2 linked regions of the Yarrowia lipolytica genome follow. The protein of the gene in region 1 interacts with the protein of each later gene in a biochemical or structural test. Links are inferred from orthologs where the notes say so. Each region holds a gene or a part of one and is shown in the gene's direction. Other genes may lie near its edges.

Region 1 (10,025 bases):
CGACCAGGGTATCACCCCACCGTCGCGACTACCCGAATCCCGAGACGATTAATACTTCTTGGCATTGGGCTACCATACGAGAACCGGTGGACAGGATGTAGCGATCACTGGTGGTGTGTTTGTAGTCACCAAATGGCAACCAAAAGTGTGGCTTGTCTGTTGGCTCTCATTACTTGTACTACCAGTAGCTACTCCTAGTAATTAGTGCAGCTTCTATCCCGACGCGGCTCACTATAACCAACTAACTCTTCCCTCCCCCCAGGAATAACTGGGGTAATATCTTGTCCCAACCAGCTCCGCAAATCCCCTTTCCCCTTCCCCCTTCCTCCTTCCAGCCCCTTTCGGGTTGTGTGGCAGTCACGTGACCCCAGCCCCTCGTCCCCTTTGTATTCGTGTTTGCAGTAAAAAGATCCACCTCGTTCCTCTGCCCACCTGTCAGACTGCATCCCGCAGCGGTGTCTGTCAGACCGTTGAACGACATTGTATGACAAGAAGCCGGAGGTGCAAAAGGCCGGTTTCGCCGACCTAAGAAAACAAGGTTCGGCTAAAGGAAGGTGTTTAAATACCGAGCATGAACAGGGGTCTGGGGGGGGCTCACAATGTCACGGGCGACAAAAGCGCAGATTCACTTGTCGCGTCGGATGTTGTACTTTGTAAGTGGACTCCCCCCCCCCCCCCCCCCCCCCGTATGCAGCCTCAGTCTGTAGAGTACATACATACCGCTACTTGTACTCATACTCGTGGTCGTACTCGTACTGTACTGGCACTGGATCTGGACTGAGTCTATTCCTGAGTCAAGGTACCTGGGTGGCAAACCTAAGACCCAAGTCGAAAGCTCGTCGTATTTTGACAAAGAATCCGCGTCTAACTCTGACCAACTAACTAGCTTGTGACGAGGATTTGTCGTCATTTGCTTTTTTTTTTCATTTATTACATTGTCGTTGGTGCGGCGAGATGGTTCAGAGATACTCGGAAATGATATTTGGCCCGTGAGCCAGCAGAAGCGAAATCAAGGACGGAGTATGTGGCGACACATGCAATATTGTGTGTATTGTGTGTATTCCAGTGTTTGCATCTGACCAGATCCATCAGCTCCTGACCATATTACCATGGCCGTCCAGTGAACCCTACAAGCACAATCGCCCTTCGGACCGTCTCACATCCCCTCATCGCTATCGCACTCTGTCCGCGGTCTCACTAGGCCCACGATGAGCTACCTCTCTTGTGCACCGGGTGAAACAGGACCTGATAATAACCAGACCCATACCATACTGGCCGCTAGCCCAAACTCTGGTGCTCGTATTCTTGGATACACAGCCCCCTTGGTAAAGACAGGGCCGAACAGTTACGGCTAAACACTCCACGATACCGGTCTTGTCAGGTTTTGGGCTGTTTTTTTTCCCGCTGCGGCATGTCAAGACACTATCCAGGTGCAAGCCAGATAACCACCAACTGCCACGGCTAACATGGTATGCACAATCGCTCTACTCGTAACCCGGGCTAACTGGTGTGAGTAACAGAAGCACCCCTTGGGTTACCCACTGTCTCAAAAAGACCCAACAGATCATCATGGCTAAAGTGGGGGATATAACGATGAGAGATACGAGAATCACCGGATGACTCGCGGTTTAGTTTGCCTTGTCAACCATATGTCCTGAGGGTCTCCAACTTGATTGTCCATGGCTTCTCGCCGACCTACGCCGTGGCAATATCTCGGAGCACACTACTGTACACTTGCACACTACAGTAGCACCATCGACTCATCCAACAGCGCTAAGCCATACGAACAACGGAAGTCGCAATTACCGTCGACGCGGTCACGTGTCGAGCGATCACCGGGCCCCTACGGACGATCTCCGCAGACACGTCCCTCTCCGCCCTTGCAGTTATGGAACAACAGGATCTTCGTGATCTCCATGTCTAGAGAGAGAGCAAAAATATGTGGAAACGAAAATGAAACGCAAAGTGGAAGATCCTGAGGTGTGCGAGATCATGGTTAGTTTCAAGACCACCGCCATCATCTGACTCTGACCCTGAACATGTGTACTTGCACTCGTTGGTTTCTCAAGTCTATTTGAAGACCAAACCATATGTTTATGAGAGCGTTGAATGTTGTTGATAGAGTGTTATCAATGGGTGGGCAGGAGCTTTTGGCCTGGATGAGGCTGTGCGTCTCTGGAATGGACTCCCCCTCCCCCCCAAACGGGGCTCTTCATTCCCTACAGCTGAGCATGTTCTCTGCGTCTGACTGTAGACTCCAGAACTACAGGTCTGTACTCAGCTGTAGCGTGCAAGTACGAGCGAGCACCGTCGGTTGAGGGATATACACCACTTTTTTATGGGGACGCGTTTAGCACCGGTATAGCCATGGAATTAACAGGTGCGGTATTAACATCTGGACCGGAGCCAACGAACGGTTGTTAGCGCCGAATCCCGTGAGGTAGAACCTCTTTAGCTCCCGCGTCTCCACGTCCCCACACCTATTTGTCGGGTTTACAGCCAGTGCGGTGTTTGGTAATATCTTTGCTACAGAGGTGGTGGTAATTTCAATCACTTGTGCCGTTCGGGGGCCTTTAGGGGGAGTGCCCGAGGGACCTCCACCTTAACCCACGCTCCTCCACCCGGAATGCGTACGATATTCCTGTCTTTTACGTCACAACGGTGCATCTCAACTCTGAAGTGCTTTTGCTCGGTGATAGACACAACCCAGACTGCCGTGCCAAGCGGGAATCAGGCGATTGAGCAACTGTGCGGACACTTGTTAGCTTTTTTGGTCCTCGTTTATTCCTCCAGCCTATTCCCACAAGCTCCAACTTGTGTCCCCCGCAAAGTTGAGGTTTGCACTCTCTCATCTGCTTGTACCGCTTGCTATGTCTCATCCAGGCCGTTGAGGAGCCCAAAACAAGACGTATAGAGTCTGCTCGTATACGGATCATCTCTATCATGGGGTTTAGACCGGGAAACAAACTGGAAACTGATCTACAAGTGCTGGTGCTTGTGGTTTGAAGACCCGTATGTACTGTTTGAACAGGAGGCGCAAAAAGCAAGCTGATGGAATTGCACTCTGCAACGTAACATTCAACGGTCTCTCGCTCAGTTAACTTTGTACACCTTGCTTTTTTCCACCCGGTAGATGCATTGCTTTGGGTTGCCTTGCGTGACCGGGTCTTCTTTTTCCTACGATAAGCAGGGCCATCTGCTGTTTGGAGAGGGAGAGAGTCGACTAAGACATCACGTGAAGGAGTCAAGGTACCGTAGCATGTTTGGTGTTTAAAGCGTACACGACGGCAGGTGGCAGAGTCTCAGAGCAGCCGTTGACGTGCACCGAAAGCCGTTGTGCACCGAAAGCCGTTGACGTGCACCGAAAGCCGTTCCCGGTGCAACTGTTCCTGCTTCTAGGGTGCTTCATCTAGCAAAATAACAGCAACAGGCGGCGACGGCAGCAACAGATGGCAACAGATGGCCACAGATAGCAACAGATAGCAACAGGCGGCCGTAGCAATGCCGTTTGCGATACATACAGCAGTGCTCTGTACGTCTGTTGTTGCGTCTGTGTGTCGTGTGAATGTCCTTCGGTTGCTATTTCGCTGCGTGCCCCGTACTCGTAGCCGAGCCAGGATGTCGTCTGATTCTGGGTCATAACTGCACGTCGTCGAAGGTGCGTCAGCAAGTATGCCAGTGGGCGTGTGCGTGTGCGTGTGGACGGTTCTTTTTCGGAAAAAGCACCGACGATGGAGCGTCGGAACAATGTTACAGACGGTCAATCGTATGAGAATTGCCGGTAGTTTTACCGTTGACCGAGGTACAAGTACGTGGGCGTACAGGCAGGAGCACCGTTACTCGTGCTCGTACCGTACATACTATGTCTAGTGTTGAATGGTTTGGTTGCTGTCCTGTCATTCGGACCAGTTTGTACGTACTTGACAAGTAGTCAAGTTAGTTGACGTTCCAAGTAATACTCATAGTCGGTTACGCTAACAGGAGCAATTGCTCGTGCTTTGGTGCTTTGGCAGCAAATACAAGCACAGCACACTGTCGGAATATCCCAATGCGGAGTTGCTCACTTGTCTCATCATCGCCATCAGACCAGTTGGGCAGGACCAACGCAGCTGGCTCACAGAGTTCCGTTTCGGGAAGTTGGAGATGAGACGTTGCGTCGGTTGGTTGGGACCGACTATATACCCGCAATTTAATAGCCGCAAGAGGCAGGTTGGAGATGAGAGCAATGGTCGACAATAGTGCAGTTATCGAGGGAGGCGTGAATCTGTCACACGACACACGTCATAGTGCAGTCACGATGACACGTCAAAACAATGTCGATGGACCAAACAATACTCACACTCAGCAGTATCGGTCCGGTTCGAACCTGTACTTGCTCGTACCCGGTGGCAAACCCACCCGCAGATTATCATCACATGACCTGGCCCCATCTCTCGGCTGTCCTTTGTATTGTTGGGCTTTGTTAACAGAACAAGGACGACCGTTGAGATGAAGCGAACACGGTTTCAGTAGGTGGCGGTCAATTGAACTGGCAAGAGAAAATGGACCTCTGCTTATACTGTTCAGATCGGTCTGTGTCACTACGCTCCCCTCGTAACTCGTACGCCACTCCAGCTGTCATCCACACACAGCTCGTAATGTCGCCACGCTCACATAAGTCATGCACTGGACGAAAGCTAAGATTGGCACGGCAGATACTGACAAGACGAGGGAGCGCTTTAATGGGGGTTTATGGGGGGATTTGAGGCGGAAAAAACCCAGACTTTGAGTCAATCAACCCCCCACAAGCTCCCTGAGACAATGCAACGCCCAAATCCCGCCCGCAACACGTGCTATACCCGATTCCCATGACACCCAATTCAACACCTTATTTAGCCTATCTGGGAGAGAAGGGCCAATAATTTATGTTCAACTAAGAGTAAGTTGTGAAAATTTTTCTCTGTAGAAAATGGTGGAGACAGACATTGGGCACGTGATGGGCGTCGGAAAGGCGATTAGGGCCCGTATAAAACCCCCCAAAGGCCAATTTATCCCCTGCCGGGGGTCCCGACACGTCACATGACCCCACATCCCCTCCAAGAGACCCCTCGGCACGTACTTTAGTGCACCCTGTCCAAGCCTCCTAAAACTCTATACGCAGCACATACCCCATATTCCAAGTCTACACCTGCATCTTTGAACCAGAGCGCTGGAAGAGTGCACGACATCTGTTTGTACTATTGCCAGGTGGACCTCAGAAGGAAACGAAGCGACACAAACACACAAGCGACACAAGCGGAACAAGATACACATCCAGAACAACATCCGCAACATCCGCAACATCCGCAACATCCGCAACATCCGCAGCATCCGCAAAAGCAACGCGCCCGCACACCAACTACACCTGTGAAGCCAACCAAGTCCCAGTACAAGTACTGTACACGCCACAAACCTCCTCTCTCGATAACGCAGACACCTCTCCCACACATCCCCTCAACCCCCTCTCACACCACATGTCTTCTTTCTCAGCATCATCGGTATCCAAACGAGGATCAATTGTGCCGCCACTGGCAGAGGACCCCGCGTTTGTAGACTCTTGCGACGTGCTCATCTGTGGCACGGGCATCGTCGAGTCAATTCTTGCGGCCGCCCTCGCATGGCAGGGCTCCAACGTGGCTCATCTGGACCGCAACTCCATCTACGGTGACTCGTCGGCAGTACTCAATCTCGATGAGCTCCCTAGATGGGTGGACGAGGTCAATTACGAGTCCGCCGTCTTCTCCAACGCCAAGTTGTACCAGCCCCGACCCCTGGACTCCAAAAAGTACTTTGTGGACCTGACCCCACGGGTGCTGTTTGCCAAGTCGGACATGCTGCAACTGCTGCTCAAGAGCCGGGTCTACAAGTATCTGGAGTTCCGGTCACTCACCAACTTCCACACGTACGAAAACGACAGCTTCGAAAAGGTGCCGGCGTCCAAACAGGACATCTTCACGTCCCAGCAAATGTCGCCCGTCGTTAAGCGTCAGCTCATGAAGTTCATCAAGTTCACCGTCGAGTGGGAACGTCTCTACAACGTCTGGGGACCCTACCGAGACAAGCCCGTTGTCGAGTTCATGACCAAGGAGTTCCAGCTGGAACAGACCCAAATCGATGAGCTGGTCCAGTCCATTGGCCTGTGTTCTTCCAACGATGTCGCCACCCCCGTCGCCCTCCACCGTATCAAGCGGTACCTGGTCTCCCTCGAGACCTACGGCGCGTTTCCCGTGGTTTACTCCATGTACGGATCTGCCTCCGAGCTGTCGCAGGGATTCTGTCGATCAGCCGCTGTCGGCGGAGCCGTATACAAGCTCAACGCAACCCTCACCGGGCTCGACGTGGACTCCAAGACGGCTATCTTCAACGATGGCTCCAAGGTGCGATGGTCCGAGAAGCTGGTGGTGTCCGAGGCCCAGATCACCGAGCAGGTGCGCTCCAAGATCCCTTCGTCCAACCCTGAGTACCAGATCAACCATCTTACGGTAATTGTCAACATGGACTGCAAGGAGTGGTTCGCCGAGGGCGAGGACGCGGCCATCATCGTGTTCCCCGTGGGCTCTCTGTCGTCCGGCAACACTAAGACTGTGCAGGCCATCTGCTACGGTGCCGAGTCTGGCCAGGTTCCTCCTGGTCAATGTATCTGGTACCTCTCCACTGTCCAGGGAGGAGCCACAGGCCAGCGGGACCTAGAGGAGGCACTGTCCAAGATGGAGGCATCGATTCTGCGGGAGTCGACCGAGGACTTTGAGTTCCAGGTGGACCAGTCGGATGTTATTTTCACGCCGTCCGGCGACCCCGTGCTATCGTCCGTGAAGCTCGGCAAGTCCATGAAGGATTTTGTACCCGAGAAGAAGCTGACGTATCTGATCAAGCTGTCGTACAACCAGAAGACGTCGATTCCGCCGCTGGAGGAGAGCATCAAGGATGTTGCTAAGAACGATGGAGACGAGAGTCCTGTGATTGTGACCTCAGGTGCACCAACGGAAATCACCTATGACGGCATTGTGGAGCAGGTCAAGAAGATCTACGCGCAGATCGTGGGTTCAGACGACGACTTTTTTGACGTTGACTTTGAAGACGACGAGGAGGACGAGCTGACGGGAATGGCCAAGCAGAATAAGAAGCAGGAGGACGACGATCACGTGCCCGACTTTGGCGATGACATGGAGCTGTAAGACGGGTTCCACATTGGATATACGATATAGATATTTATAGGGCTGTACGTTACTAGTGCAGTTCTGCTCAACATAAGTTAAGCTAGATGATGTTATGACAAGCAGGACGCGGGCGCGCTCGCAAGATCCAGTGTGGTGAGATTGGGTTCTTTATAGATGACTAGAACCACTTTGAGAGAACATCAGAAGCGGTAAGAACGTTAGTATATATTAGTGTACATGGTTAGTATTTATGGAATGACACTCAGTGGACTAATCAACACTTACCTCGAACAGTTCCATTTCAGTCTCTGAATGGACCAAAGAGTCTGACGAGATGAGGGGATCTGAGGAGAGGGCTACTTCTGAACCCAGGAGATCTGTCTCTGGTTCGACTTCGCCATCAGGTTCAGCCATAGGTTCAGGTTGGGCCAAATCCTCCATGGAAACCGTCTGAGTGTTTGTATTTCGAGGAGCTTTGTTCTCCTTGTCTTCGTCAGGATCCAGTTCAGAGGGAGGGTCTGGAGGTGGTGATAGAGATGGCAATGAAGTGGTTGGTTGTTGTGCTTCTCGTGAGGCGACATTCTCTTGCTGTGGGTTATTCTCTTGCTGGTGCTCCTCTTGCTGAGTTCCTTGTTGTTCCTCTTGCTGTCCCTCTAGTTGGCCTTCGTCCTGTGCATCCTGTCCGTCCTGTGCACCCTGTTCATCCTGTTCATCCTGTTCTTCTCCTTCCTGCTCTCCTTCCTGCTCTCCTTCCTGCTCCCCTTCCTGCTCTCCTTCCTGCACTCCCTCGTGCCCCTTCAGCTGTTGTTGCTGTTGCTCCTGCTCCTGCTCTTCACTATGATATTGCTCTCTCTGATCCCTCTTTGCGAACTCAGCAGCTAGAGACACCTGCTCATCGTCCAGTCCAGACCACAAGCCAGCCTTCAAAATAGCCTGGTTCGTGACTGTATCCAGATACTGATCTCTGGCAGACGCAGGTAGATTGACTCTGTCGATCCGTCTCCTCTTGGCCGTACGTACTTGGGGTTCAAGTCCCCTAGTAGAATTAACCAGGAACTGCACACTCTCCGCCAAGGGAACAACATCCCTATACAACTTACTAGCCTCAGAACTCCTATCTGTGAGAAAAGAGAAGCTCGATCCACACCGTGCGACCGTGGCCTCTATTCTTTTCAGTCGGTTGAGTTCCAGCTTGAGCCGTTGTTGTTGTCGCATCAAAGACTCTTCTCCTCCAAACAGCTCGTGTTCCAGCCTGGCAATCTCTCTGTCGAGTTCTGCGTCCTCGTTGACCTTGGAAACGCTCTTGGCATCAAACGTGTGGTGCTCCAGTTTGAACCAGCCGCCTTCAACTAGCTCAGAGGGCACGTTGAACACGTTTCGCAACGCGTCGAGCTCAAACAGATCAAACTTCTCGTCTACCTTGGTTTCCAGCAGCGTCTCCATCTTGGCGGTTCCGATTTCAATTTCCTTAGTCGTTGGCAGCTCGGCGACGCGTAGCTGGTAGTCGGACGCGTCTCTGGCGGTCTGTTCGATTTTTTGAAGGTGTCGGGCCTGGCGCGTTTTCAAAAAGTCCTCCATCGCGTCGGTCACGGTATATAGCACCTGGTTGACCGCGTTGATGACATCGTCGACCACAGCAATCGGCGCATAGCCGAAATGCTCTGTCAGAATGCTGGTAGTGCGGATAAACGAGTCGTTCATGGTCCCGCAGCTGTGGTGATGTGTAGTCGCGTACCACTTGGTGATGTTGCCTAAGGTGGTTTGGGTTCGCAGTGCATGACCGGAAATGTTAGGCAAGATACCGAAAGAGAGAGATAGTGACTAAAATGGCGGTATTCAGTGCAATTTCTGGAAAATTGAATAAAAAACAGAAAAAACACACAAAAAGAATAAATGTGATCCCAATTTTCAATACCTTCAACTGCTTAAACCCGTTATGCTCGCTAGAATGTCTCCACTGTGGAGATTGTAGATCTTGCTCACACAGGAGGATGATAGGCTTGAAGGCATGGAGGTTTATGAGATTAAAATGAATTAAATTAATGATATACAAGTACACATAATCTCGTAGCAGCAACATTCCTCATGTGCACAAGCAACGGCGGATCTAAGGCGATCTGTAGTCTCGTACAAGCGGTCCGTGTGTACTTGGACGGTGAATACCATAGATACAGTATGTACGTAACAGTGTCGCACCTCAAACCAATGTCTCATGTCTACTCATAGACAGACCGTAATTACTCGACAAACCCGAAAACATGTCTTACTCAACGCCGTTAAAATTTCTCGGCCAAATGGCGGGAACACCTCGTTAATCGACTAGACAAGGTCTCACCGCACATTTGTCTCGGAGCTACTTGCAGCACCACACAAGCACTGATGGAAGTTATGTGGACTTTAGGTGTTGGATTTCTCCGAGTTTTGTCCGAGACAAAGGTCAGAGACTGTTCTTTTTCGTCCCGCAGCGAACTCTTGTAGATCGACCCTGGCTGCTTCAGATACACTTTTTAACGCTCGTTTAGAGGGGCCAGTAGAATTCAATATTGGTAGACAAGGGGCGATACAAAAAGAAGTAATGGCTGCTAGTATTTCTTTTTGTCTGTTTATCCGGCTCTGTGCACTCCGAAAAAAGGGTCCCAGGCAACCAGCTGTTGCAATACACCATCGCCTGAAGTGCAGTGGTTGTATCTTCACATGTTTACACTATGTCTCATGCAACCACTTCCATATGGGGGTAGAACAACAGAGTAAAAGAGTAAAACACGCTGCGAGTGCGCCAACATGGGCCCATGTCTCAGTCTTGGGTGAGATATGTTCCTCCTGCACCTCTCTCGTGTGCAGGGTCAGCAG
Region 2 (9,017 bases), on another chromosome or scaffold:
AGGACGAGATTGCGCGTCAGGTGCGTCAACACGCGTCCTTCGAGGAGACTATTGGCAAGCTGGAGCGAAAGATCGAACGAGGAGAATCAGATGCGGTTCGAAAAGAGGAGGCAGTTGTTCGATTGCAGGATGAGGTTGCTTCTCTGAAGGCTATTTTGGCTTCTGGAGAGGACGCAGACATCAAAACCAAACAGCAGGAGGAGATTCAGGCGCTGAAGACGAGCCTGCAAAAGGCCAATGCTACTGCTGATGCTCGGTCCAATGAGAATGACTACATGCGTTCCGAATACCAAAAGGCATCCGAGAGCGCGTCCGAGGCGTTGGCGAAGGTGGGATTGCTTACAACCGAGCTGGCTGAGGCCAACCAGCGTGCCGATGGTGAGTTTTCTGCCCTCAGAAAGCTCACATTCGACGAAGAGCGAGAAATTCGGGATTCGGAGATTGCAGAGCTCAAGGTTAAGGTGGAGAACTTGGAGGAGCAGCTCAAGAGACAGAGCGAGGCAGCTCCCAAGACATCACGTGCGAGGTACGGTGTGAGATCGAGCTCGGTTCCTAGACGAGCTCTTTCTCCTGCCGATGGACCTAATACGCAGTCAGAGTAGACGGATGACGAATGATGAAATATATTATGTATTATAGGAGGTTTAATTAATTACTGACGGATTGAGTGGTTCTATTTTTACTTACAAGTACTTGTAGTTTGAATGCAATATATTACCGATACGGTATGTGTTCCTACCCCTTCAACGCCTACTCCTTGCACCACAACTTCACTGTTCGATCCCAGCCACAGGTGGCGAAGTACTCGTTTCCAGGTCCCAAATCCATGCCCATGATTCGGTCTTGCGTCTTCCACCTTTTAGCCAGGGTCCACGAATCGGCATTCCAGATGTTAAAGTCGCCATCGTATCCCGTAGATGCGAGAAATGAGCCCGACTTGTCAAACTGAACACTCGACACAATCTTTGTATGTGCAGGGATTGTGTGGGAACATTTTTGAGCACGCAGATCCCATATTCTGACAGATCCGTCAGCAGATCCAGATGCAAGATAGAACCCGTTACCAGACCATCCCAGACTGTATATCTCTCGGATATGGCCTTCCAGAGTCTGAATACTTCGTCCAGATCGCATATCCCACACTCTGCCTACTGCATCCAAGCCAGCAGAGGCTACTAGAGCTCCATCCGGGTGGAAGGCCACAGAGTGGACACCCTTAGAGTGTCCTTCTTGAGACAACAGCTTGGTACCGCTCTCAATGTCCCACAGAGCCCAGGTGTAGTCATAGGACGCGGTAGCAGCCCACTGCCCGCTTGGATGAACGTCTAGACCTGCGATACGGCCCTTGTGGGCTTCAGACACCGTTCTGTATGCAGTATGTTCGTTGCCTTCTGTGCTGGAATCCCAGAACAGCAGCTTTCCCTCTCCACATCCACTCAGCAAGATATTACGTGCCCATTTCAAAGCACTTACTTTATCCACGTGCCCTCTCAACACAGCCTTGGTATTCAGATTCGGTACATCCATTAGCTTGATCTCGCCGTTCCACGATGATGCAGCCAGTATAGAGTCGCTTCCAAAAGCCACGGCCCCTGCTGGACGTGTGGAAACGAACTGTGATCCCAGAAGCTGATACTGCTCTATAGGGGCCATCTTATCTCGTCGTAGGTTAACTGTCTCCACCAGGGACAATTCCGACTGTTGCTTTTGTGTCGTGAGTCGGTCCCTTGCTCTCAAGATACTGTCGTTTGTTATCTGCCTCCTTGCATCAAGCAACTCTTCACTTCCTGGCGTAAAAAACTCGTCGTCGTCCATAGAAACGTCAGAATCGCTCTCTTCGTCCTGCAGACCTTCCCGATCAAACTCGTCCACCATTAGCTGACCCAGACGGGTCCGTCGATCAGCTTTGTCTTCTGCGAAAAGAGTAATGGGCTCATTCAACGATCGTAGTTTCGCTCTAACATCCTTATCGTCTGTAGGAACATGCAGTTTTTTGAGAATATCAGCTCGACGTTGTTTTTCCAACAGCTGACGGGCCGCAACGGCCTCTTCCCGAACTGAAGAAGAGTCCACCGTCGTCTTGATCGACTCCAGATCCACAAGTTCCATGTTGGTGATGAAGACAATTAGGTTGGGAGGTGCAGAATTGATACATTTGATTACTAAAGCGATATGGAGTGCTAAAGCAGGATTATGCAATGAGTGAAAGGCCCGAATAAACTATTGTAAGGTCAGGGTTGTTCAGATTTGCAGCTAGAGAGCAAGAAATATCGGCCACTTATTAACCACAGGTTATGAGTTTCTTGCAGCTCCTGCCTGTTCGATCCCCATAACTGTGGATATTATTCACTACTTGTAGCTCTGTTTAGATAATAGCTGATGAAGATGGTGGCGATATTTACAGAAAAATCGACTTTGGAAAAAACAACAACACGCAGGCGACTCCACATGCTGCTTCGATATACTGACCTCCGCCTACCTTCCCTTCACATGAATGATAAAAAACTCGTTCGGAGTTTAGCTCTAAAAGCGAAAGTGCGGAGAATGTGGGAACAGGATACAACTATAGAATGATAAAGTGATAGAAAAAGAGCTACTGAAACGAATAATGCGGGCATAGAAATAGCTTCAGAGCCTCACGTAACTTGTGTTTAGTTTGGCCTCTCCTAATACCTCAATCATCGCTCGCTATTAGCTCTCAGATGCCAATAATAATAAGACGCAGTAGATCGCCTAAGCAAGTTTAAACGGAATGTGTTGAGGCTATTTCAGTGTGGAGGAGTTATAAAGTGCAAAGAAGGGGGAGGAAGGATGTTTGAGTTGCCGGAAGGCATTCAATATATAGGAAATTCTGTTAAGAAAGAATCTCTTCCAAGCCCCAACCGTTGGCGCCCATCAATGGTGTGTTTAATAAACCCCGCTGACAACCGCATCCATGCATTCCCCGGAGTTAATATCTCACCTCCTGATATCTAGATGCAGCTTCGAAAGCTAAAGTGGCTACATTCACTACAGACCACAGGCAGTAAGCATCCGACACACAAGTGCACCTGTCTATAACCCCCACAATTTCTTCTCTTGTTGCACACCAACACCAACACCACAGAAACACAACAATGGCGATCCCCCACTTGGAGTGTCTGCAGAAATGCGTCCACGAGCTCCATGCCCTGTTGCATCAGCACTACCACGAGTTCCAGGCTTCTCCGGTCGCTTACCTTCATTCGAAGCACGACTGCGTGAGGGCTGAGGTAATTGAGCATTTCCAGAATGCCACTACCTATGAAAAGTGAGAATAAGCGAAGGATGAGACTGTTTGAGTACTACTAACCCAGATTTCGAGATGCGGTATTTATTGTGTGAGTATACACGGTCCCATTGAGAATCAAAACGACACAAGTAAAAGGCGATCTTACAGAGATACCATTGACGCCATGACACTCACGACGTTTTACCCATGAGATCTTGGAGCAATTATTCACAGAGGCTTCTCTTGGCCGTACATCCGACCGTCCGACCGGGAGCACACGGACATGATATCAGTCATCATATGTTAGCTACGACATACAATTAACAGCTACTCGCTGTTCATGTGATTTGATCTGGAAACGATGAGCTAGAGCAACCCAGCCATGTATATACTAACTCAGCGTCATTCTCACAGCCCTTGGCAACTTCCTTTCTTTTATTCACACCATCTTTGCTGATGGACTTCAAAACACATTCCGTTTCCATGCCAGAAAAGTGACCAAAAAGATTCTCGACATTCCCTTCATCAAGGCTAAGATTGACAAGGAGACAGGGGTTGTGATTGAGAAGATCCAGAACGACATTATCGTCCGAATGCCCGGCACCCAAATCTTTGGGACTCTCCCTGCTGAAGGTATGACCAACACAGAGGTCATCACTGAGATGTCTAAGTACCACGATATGAAGCGAACCTTCTGGGAAAAGGGTCGTGTAAGTGGAGCTGTCTACCACGGAGGTAAGGAGCTCACAGACCTGCAATCCGAGGCATTCTCCCAGTTCACAGTGGCGAACCAGCTTCATCCCGATGTCTTCCCGGGTGTCCGAAAGATGGAGTCTGAGGTTGTTGCTATGGTTCTGGCTCTTTTCCATGGCCCTGAGGGCTCTTGCGGAACCTCTACATCTGGAGGTACCGAGTCTCTCCTGCTGACTTCTCTGGCCGCCAAGATGAAGGCCTACAACGAGCGAGGCGTCACACATCCCGAGATTATTGCTCCTATCACTGTGCATGCCGGCTTTGACAAGGCTGCCTACTACTTTGGAATGAAGCTGCGACATGCCCCCGTCGATCCGAAGACTATGAAGGTTGATCTGAAGGCTGTGCGACGAATGGTTACCAGAAACACCGTTCTGCTAGTCGGATCTGCCCCCAACTTCCCCCATGGTATTATCGATGACATCGAGGGCCTCTCTGATATCGCTCTCAAGCACAAAATCCCCCTGCATGTGGATGCTTGTCTGGGCTCCTTTATCGTCCCTTACCTTGAGAGAGCTGGCTTCGACAAGATCCTGTTCGATTTTCGAGTCCCTGGTGTCACTTCCATCTCATGTGACACCCACAAGTACGGATTTGCCCCCAAGGGATCTTCTATCATCATGTACAGAACACCCGAGCTTCGACATTACCAGTACTTTGTTGCACCCGACTGGACCGGAGGTATCTACGGCTCTCCCACTCTTGCTGGCTCTCGTCCTGGAGCCATCATGGTCGGATGCTGGGCCACCATGCTATCTGTCGGAGACAACGGATACTTGGAGTCTTGTAAGGAGATTGTCGGAGCTGCCCGAAAGTTTCGAAAAGCTGTGGACGAGGAGATTCCTGACCTCCAGATCATTGGAGATCCTCGAGCATCTGTTATCGCCTTCGGTTCTGACTCTGTCAACATCTACGATCTATCTGATGCCATGAGCAAGAAGGGATGGCACTTGTCGACTCTGCAGAACCCCCCAGCTGCCCACGTAGCGTTCACCAAGCCTGCTGTGGCTGCTGTAGACGATCTGGTTTCTGATCTCAAGAGCTGCATTATCGAAATGAAGAAGGCCGGCAATACCAAGGTGGAGGATGGAACGGCTGCTTTCTACGGTGTGGCTGGTTCCATCAAGACCGCTGGAGTTGCTGACCGGCTTGTGTGCGGTTTCCTTGATGGTCTATACAAGCTATAGATACTTCTCGGTATCATTCTAGTTTTCTTGAAGATGATATATGTATTAGTATGATGAATGAGCATTTACTCGAGTTGTAATTTGTATCCCTGTAATCTACTGTCTTTCCCCAACTCTATTTTGTCCCACCTCCTTATGATGATGACCGAGCTTATTTCCCTCATCCAACATCATGTCGCTGCTGAAAGAGAAACATATCAAGTATATCCAGACGTTGGACGATCATACCGACAGCCTCGCCTACTGGCTGACGGAGCATTTACGGCTGAGTGAGTATATTTGAGCTGCATTTTCGCCTCACCTAACACAGATGGTCTCTACTGGGGTCTGAATGCCCTTGATCTGATGCATGCCAGAGAGGCTCTTCCTCGTGAAGACGTGATCAAATTTGTGCTAAACTGCCAAAAACCGAATGGAGGGTTCGGAGCCGCGCCAAATCACGACGCCCACATCACTTTCACGCTTTCGGCTGTTCAAATTCTTCTGATTGAGGATGCTCTCGACAAGATTGATGCCGACCAGATTGCAGACTACATTGTCTCGCTGCACAATCAGGAGACGGGTGAGGTCTCGGGTGATGAATACGGCGAGGTGGATACTCGGTTCCTGTACATTGCTCTCAACTGCTTGTCTATCCTGGGAAAGTTGGATAGACTGAACGTGGAAGCTATGGCCAAATGGATAGCTGCTTGCCAGAATCTTGATGGTGGCTTTGGAATGGTTCCCGGAGCAGAGAGTCATGCTGCTCAGGCCTTCACATGCATTGGAGCTCTCACTATAGCCGGAAAGCTGGATCTGATAGATGGGGATTTGGCCTGTTGGTGGCTCAGTGAACGGCAACTGCCAGAGGGAGGACTCAATGGTCGACCGGAGAAACTGCCGGACGTGTGTTACTCGTGGTGGGTGCTGTCTTGTCTGGCCATGATGAAGAAGCTGCATTGGATCAACCGAGACAAACTACGAGATTTCATTTTGAAAGCTCAAGACGAAGATGATGGAGGTATTGCTGATCGAGAGGGTGACGTGGCCGACGTATTTCACACGAATTTTGGCCTCTGTGGCTTGTCACTGCTGGGTACAGATGGTCTGGATCAAGTGAACCCTGTCTACTGTCTTCCCCAGAAGGTTATGCATAGAGTCAAGCAGGATCCTTGGAACGGTAAGGATTTGAGCAAGTAAGGGCTGGGATATGAATGAATTATGAGACATCAGCATTGCATAAGTGTAAAACCGAAGGCGCGAAGCCATTACAGTAGTATCGTATCTCAGATTGAGATTCAAGCACAGATTGACCTCCATTGCCAGATACAGATTATTATCCGCCGGAATCGTATGATTAAAATCATTGCCAGTGTCATAGTAGCATCCTGATTGTATGAAGGAACTCGTATCATCAGATCACTACTGTATCTCGCAAGATATCAGACATAGTCAGGTAACATTATCTGACTTACCGGAGCACTTCGTGAGCAACACATCCGATATCGTAAGATCTATGACGTTACTGTAACAAAATGGTACGATCGACTCATTTTTGTACCACTGTTGGCCGAACACGTGATGTTGGAAGGGTTGATATAGCATCATCCTTCCTATACCCGGTCACTCTCATGTCATTATATTGTACATCTGATTTACCGGTTCTTTGTCTCCATGTGGCAGTTGTGATAGACCAAGAGAGCTGCAGCTACATACAATAGCTCATTGGCTCATTGGCCTTCTGTATAATTCCAGAACCATTTCTGTAATGCAGGTTCATATGTTGCTCCTGATGTATTTGTTAAAGGAAGTCGAACGACTGGAACGCAGGATTAATATGCGTGGAAATAGGTACAGTATCAACAAGCGGACTCTGTAGATTGTATCCACCCATCTTGATATACTAGATGTACCCACTCATATCCATAGTAACACTGGCCATCGCCAAGAGGACCTTTCCACGTCGTATTCTTAATAGATTTCTTTTTGTTACTATTTATCTGCTGTCCCGTAACTCACCACTGCAGAGAATCGTCTGGATGCATATCTGTGCAGCAGGGCAGATGAACATGATGTATGGGTAGATGGCTGCAGAGCCATTTCGGGAAACGGCCCGTGCCACATGCATGTGGCTGGTGTTAGGAGCTATGCGGCTACATCCGAGTTATTCGTTTCGCACTCTTCCCGTTTCGAACTGTGTGGTTATCCGAGAAAAAGCACGCTTGGCAAAACTCCATCGTTTTGTTTTACAGTTACACTCTACAAGTAGTGCGATATTAGTGGTCTTATCTGTAGGTTAACCTTGAAAGTGGCCTGTTCTGGGACACTTATTCATGATAAAGTGGAGAAGTGGAGAAGTGGGGAAGAGGAATTAAGCTCCTTATATTTTACCAAACTGTCGTCAAGATAAGTCCCGGCCATCTTGATGGTTCTACTTCTACGAGTACTGTACCTTTACTTGTAAGTGTGTACTTGTGAATGAAGAGAGAGAAGTAGAGCAGTGCGTGACAACCAGTATGCTCTTGAAGAACAACTTTTGGTAATGCCAGAACATGTACAAATAGTATCTGATTTGTAAGGGGGATTTTTGTCCATACCATATACTGTAGCTACAAGTACTGTAATTCCAATACAACTACTTGTAGTGATAATTATATGAAACATGTGAGTTCTTCAAGACAAGTCTCCACGCAAATCAATAGTACTGTACTGAAATCGTGGAGAAAAACGGAAGGACTACAAGTATACAGTAACTAAGTATCATTAAGAAGTCCATATATTCAACTACAGTACGTACCGTACAGTAATAACTTGCAACAGTCGTTTGTGGGCATTTTCTTGCCTCCACAAATTCAGCAGAACTCTAACCGATATAAGCTACAATTAACCTCAGCATTTTGTGCTCACGAAACGGCCAGAATAACGGTCCGAATTGACCGTGGTTTTGTGAGGTGATAGATTGGAAGAGTAAAAGACACGTGACCACACGACACGCATGCATCTCTGGAGTTATTCGAGCAAACCTGGCTTTTTGTCCCAGTCCCAACTTACTGTAGCCAGATACTTTAATTGTGGATGTACAGTAGTTACATAGTAGGTATAGCCCAAAACGGACTGGTGAGATTGAGTGGAAGACAATTTCTTACTGTACAGTAGAAGTTCTACATATACTGCAACCATAGCCTCCTCAATTAAGGATTACAGAAACTAGTTTTTTTCGTAATAATTTTATTGCTAGAATGCAAAACATGTCAGAAGAAGAAAAACCGACACGTTTATAAATATAGTGATAAAGGATCCAAGGTAGAGAAGAATCAAAAGAGAAACAAGACAGGGCAGTAGCCATTGAGAACCAATGTAGACAAGCAGATGGAGTAAAAGAGTCACGTTTTTGTAAGATTCCAGAGTTCTGTGTATATCAATGGGTTGTGCTGGCTGCAACGTCGAATGTCGTAGTTCTCTGAATTGATAGCTTCTCCGAGGGTTGATTATCAAGTGCAAAATGATTTGTTGTTTGATGTAGTTGAGCATTTTAAGCAGACTCAGGCTTCTTGTTCATGAATCGAGGGTCAAAAGTGGAGTGACCAAAGGACTGGTAGATACCGGCCTGCTTGTCAAACTTGACTCGCTTGTAGGCGTAGACACCAAAAGCCCAGCCCAGAACGGGGGTAAGCCATAGAGCAAGGGTCTTGAGGTTACCAGCAGTTCGCACAAAATCTCGTCCGTGGGGGAGGTAAGAGACGGAGTGCTTAATGAAGGGGTTGATGGCGAGCTGGGGTCGAGAGGGCTGCATTGTGGTTTTGTTTTAAGTGATTGGGAAGATCAGGTGATGTTGTTTAATGGGGAGA

Evidence for each region.
Region 2: the proteins of YALI1_F09177g (region 1) and YALI1_E33302g form a complex in vitro, tested with the Saccharomyces cerevisiae proteins (2 studies listed by BioGRID, with this or other methods). The link is inferred for Yarrowia lipolytica from reciprocal best matches to the Saccharomyces cerevisiae genes MRS6 and BET2.

Annotation. Positions count from the first base shown.
Region 1 is NC_090775.1:912,277-922,301, forward strand, and holds YALI1_F09177g (uncharacterized protein), read left to right. Parts: upstream 1-5,492; coding exon 5,493-7,193; downstream 7,194-10,025. Other genes in the region: YALI1_F09137g (uncharacterized protein), read right to left, coding at 1,173-1,484, 1,527-1,571; YALI1_F09155g (uncharacterized protein), read right to left, coding at 2,649-3,301, 3,357-3,383, 3,429-3,519; YALI1_F09161g (uncharacterized protein), read left to right, coding at 3,863-3,916, 3,966-4,193; YALI1_F09211g (uncharacterized protein), read right to left, coding at 7,446-8,876. UniProt on the Saccharomyces cerevisiae protein: Substrate-binding subunit (component A) of the Rab geranylgeranyltransferase (GGTase) complex. Binds unprenylated Rab proteins and presents the substrate peptide to the catalytic component B.
Region 2 is NC_090774.1:3,324,681-3,333,697, forward strand, and holds YALI1_E33302g (uncharacterized protein), read left to right. Parts: upstream 1-5,535; coding exon 5,536-6,369; downstream 6,370-9,017. Other genes in the region: YALI1_E33234g (uncharacterized protein), read left to right, coding at 1-602; YALI1_E33268g (uncharacterized protein), read right to left, coding at 751-2,109; YALI1_E33278g (uncharacterized protein), read left to right, coding at 3,117-3,289, 3,336-3,363; YALI1_E33285g (uncharacterized protein), read left to right, coding at 3,844-5,190; YALI1_E33336g (uncharacterized protein), read right to left, coding at 8,702-8,962. UniProt on the Saccharomyces cerevisiae protein: Catalyzes the transfer of a geranyl-geranyl moiety from geranyl-geranyl pyrophosphate to proteins having the C-terminal -XCC or -XCXC, where both cysteines may become modified. Acts on YPT1 and SEC4.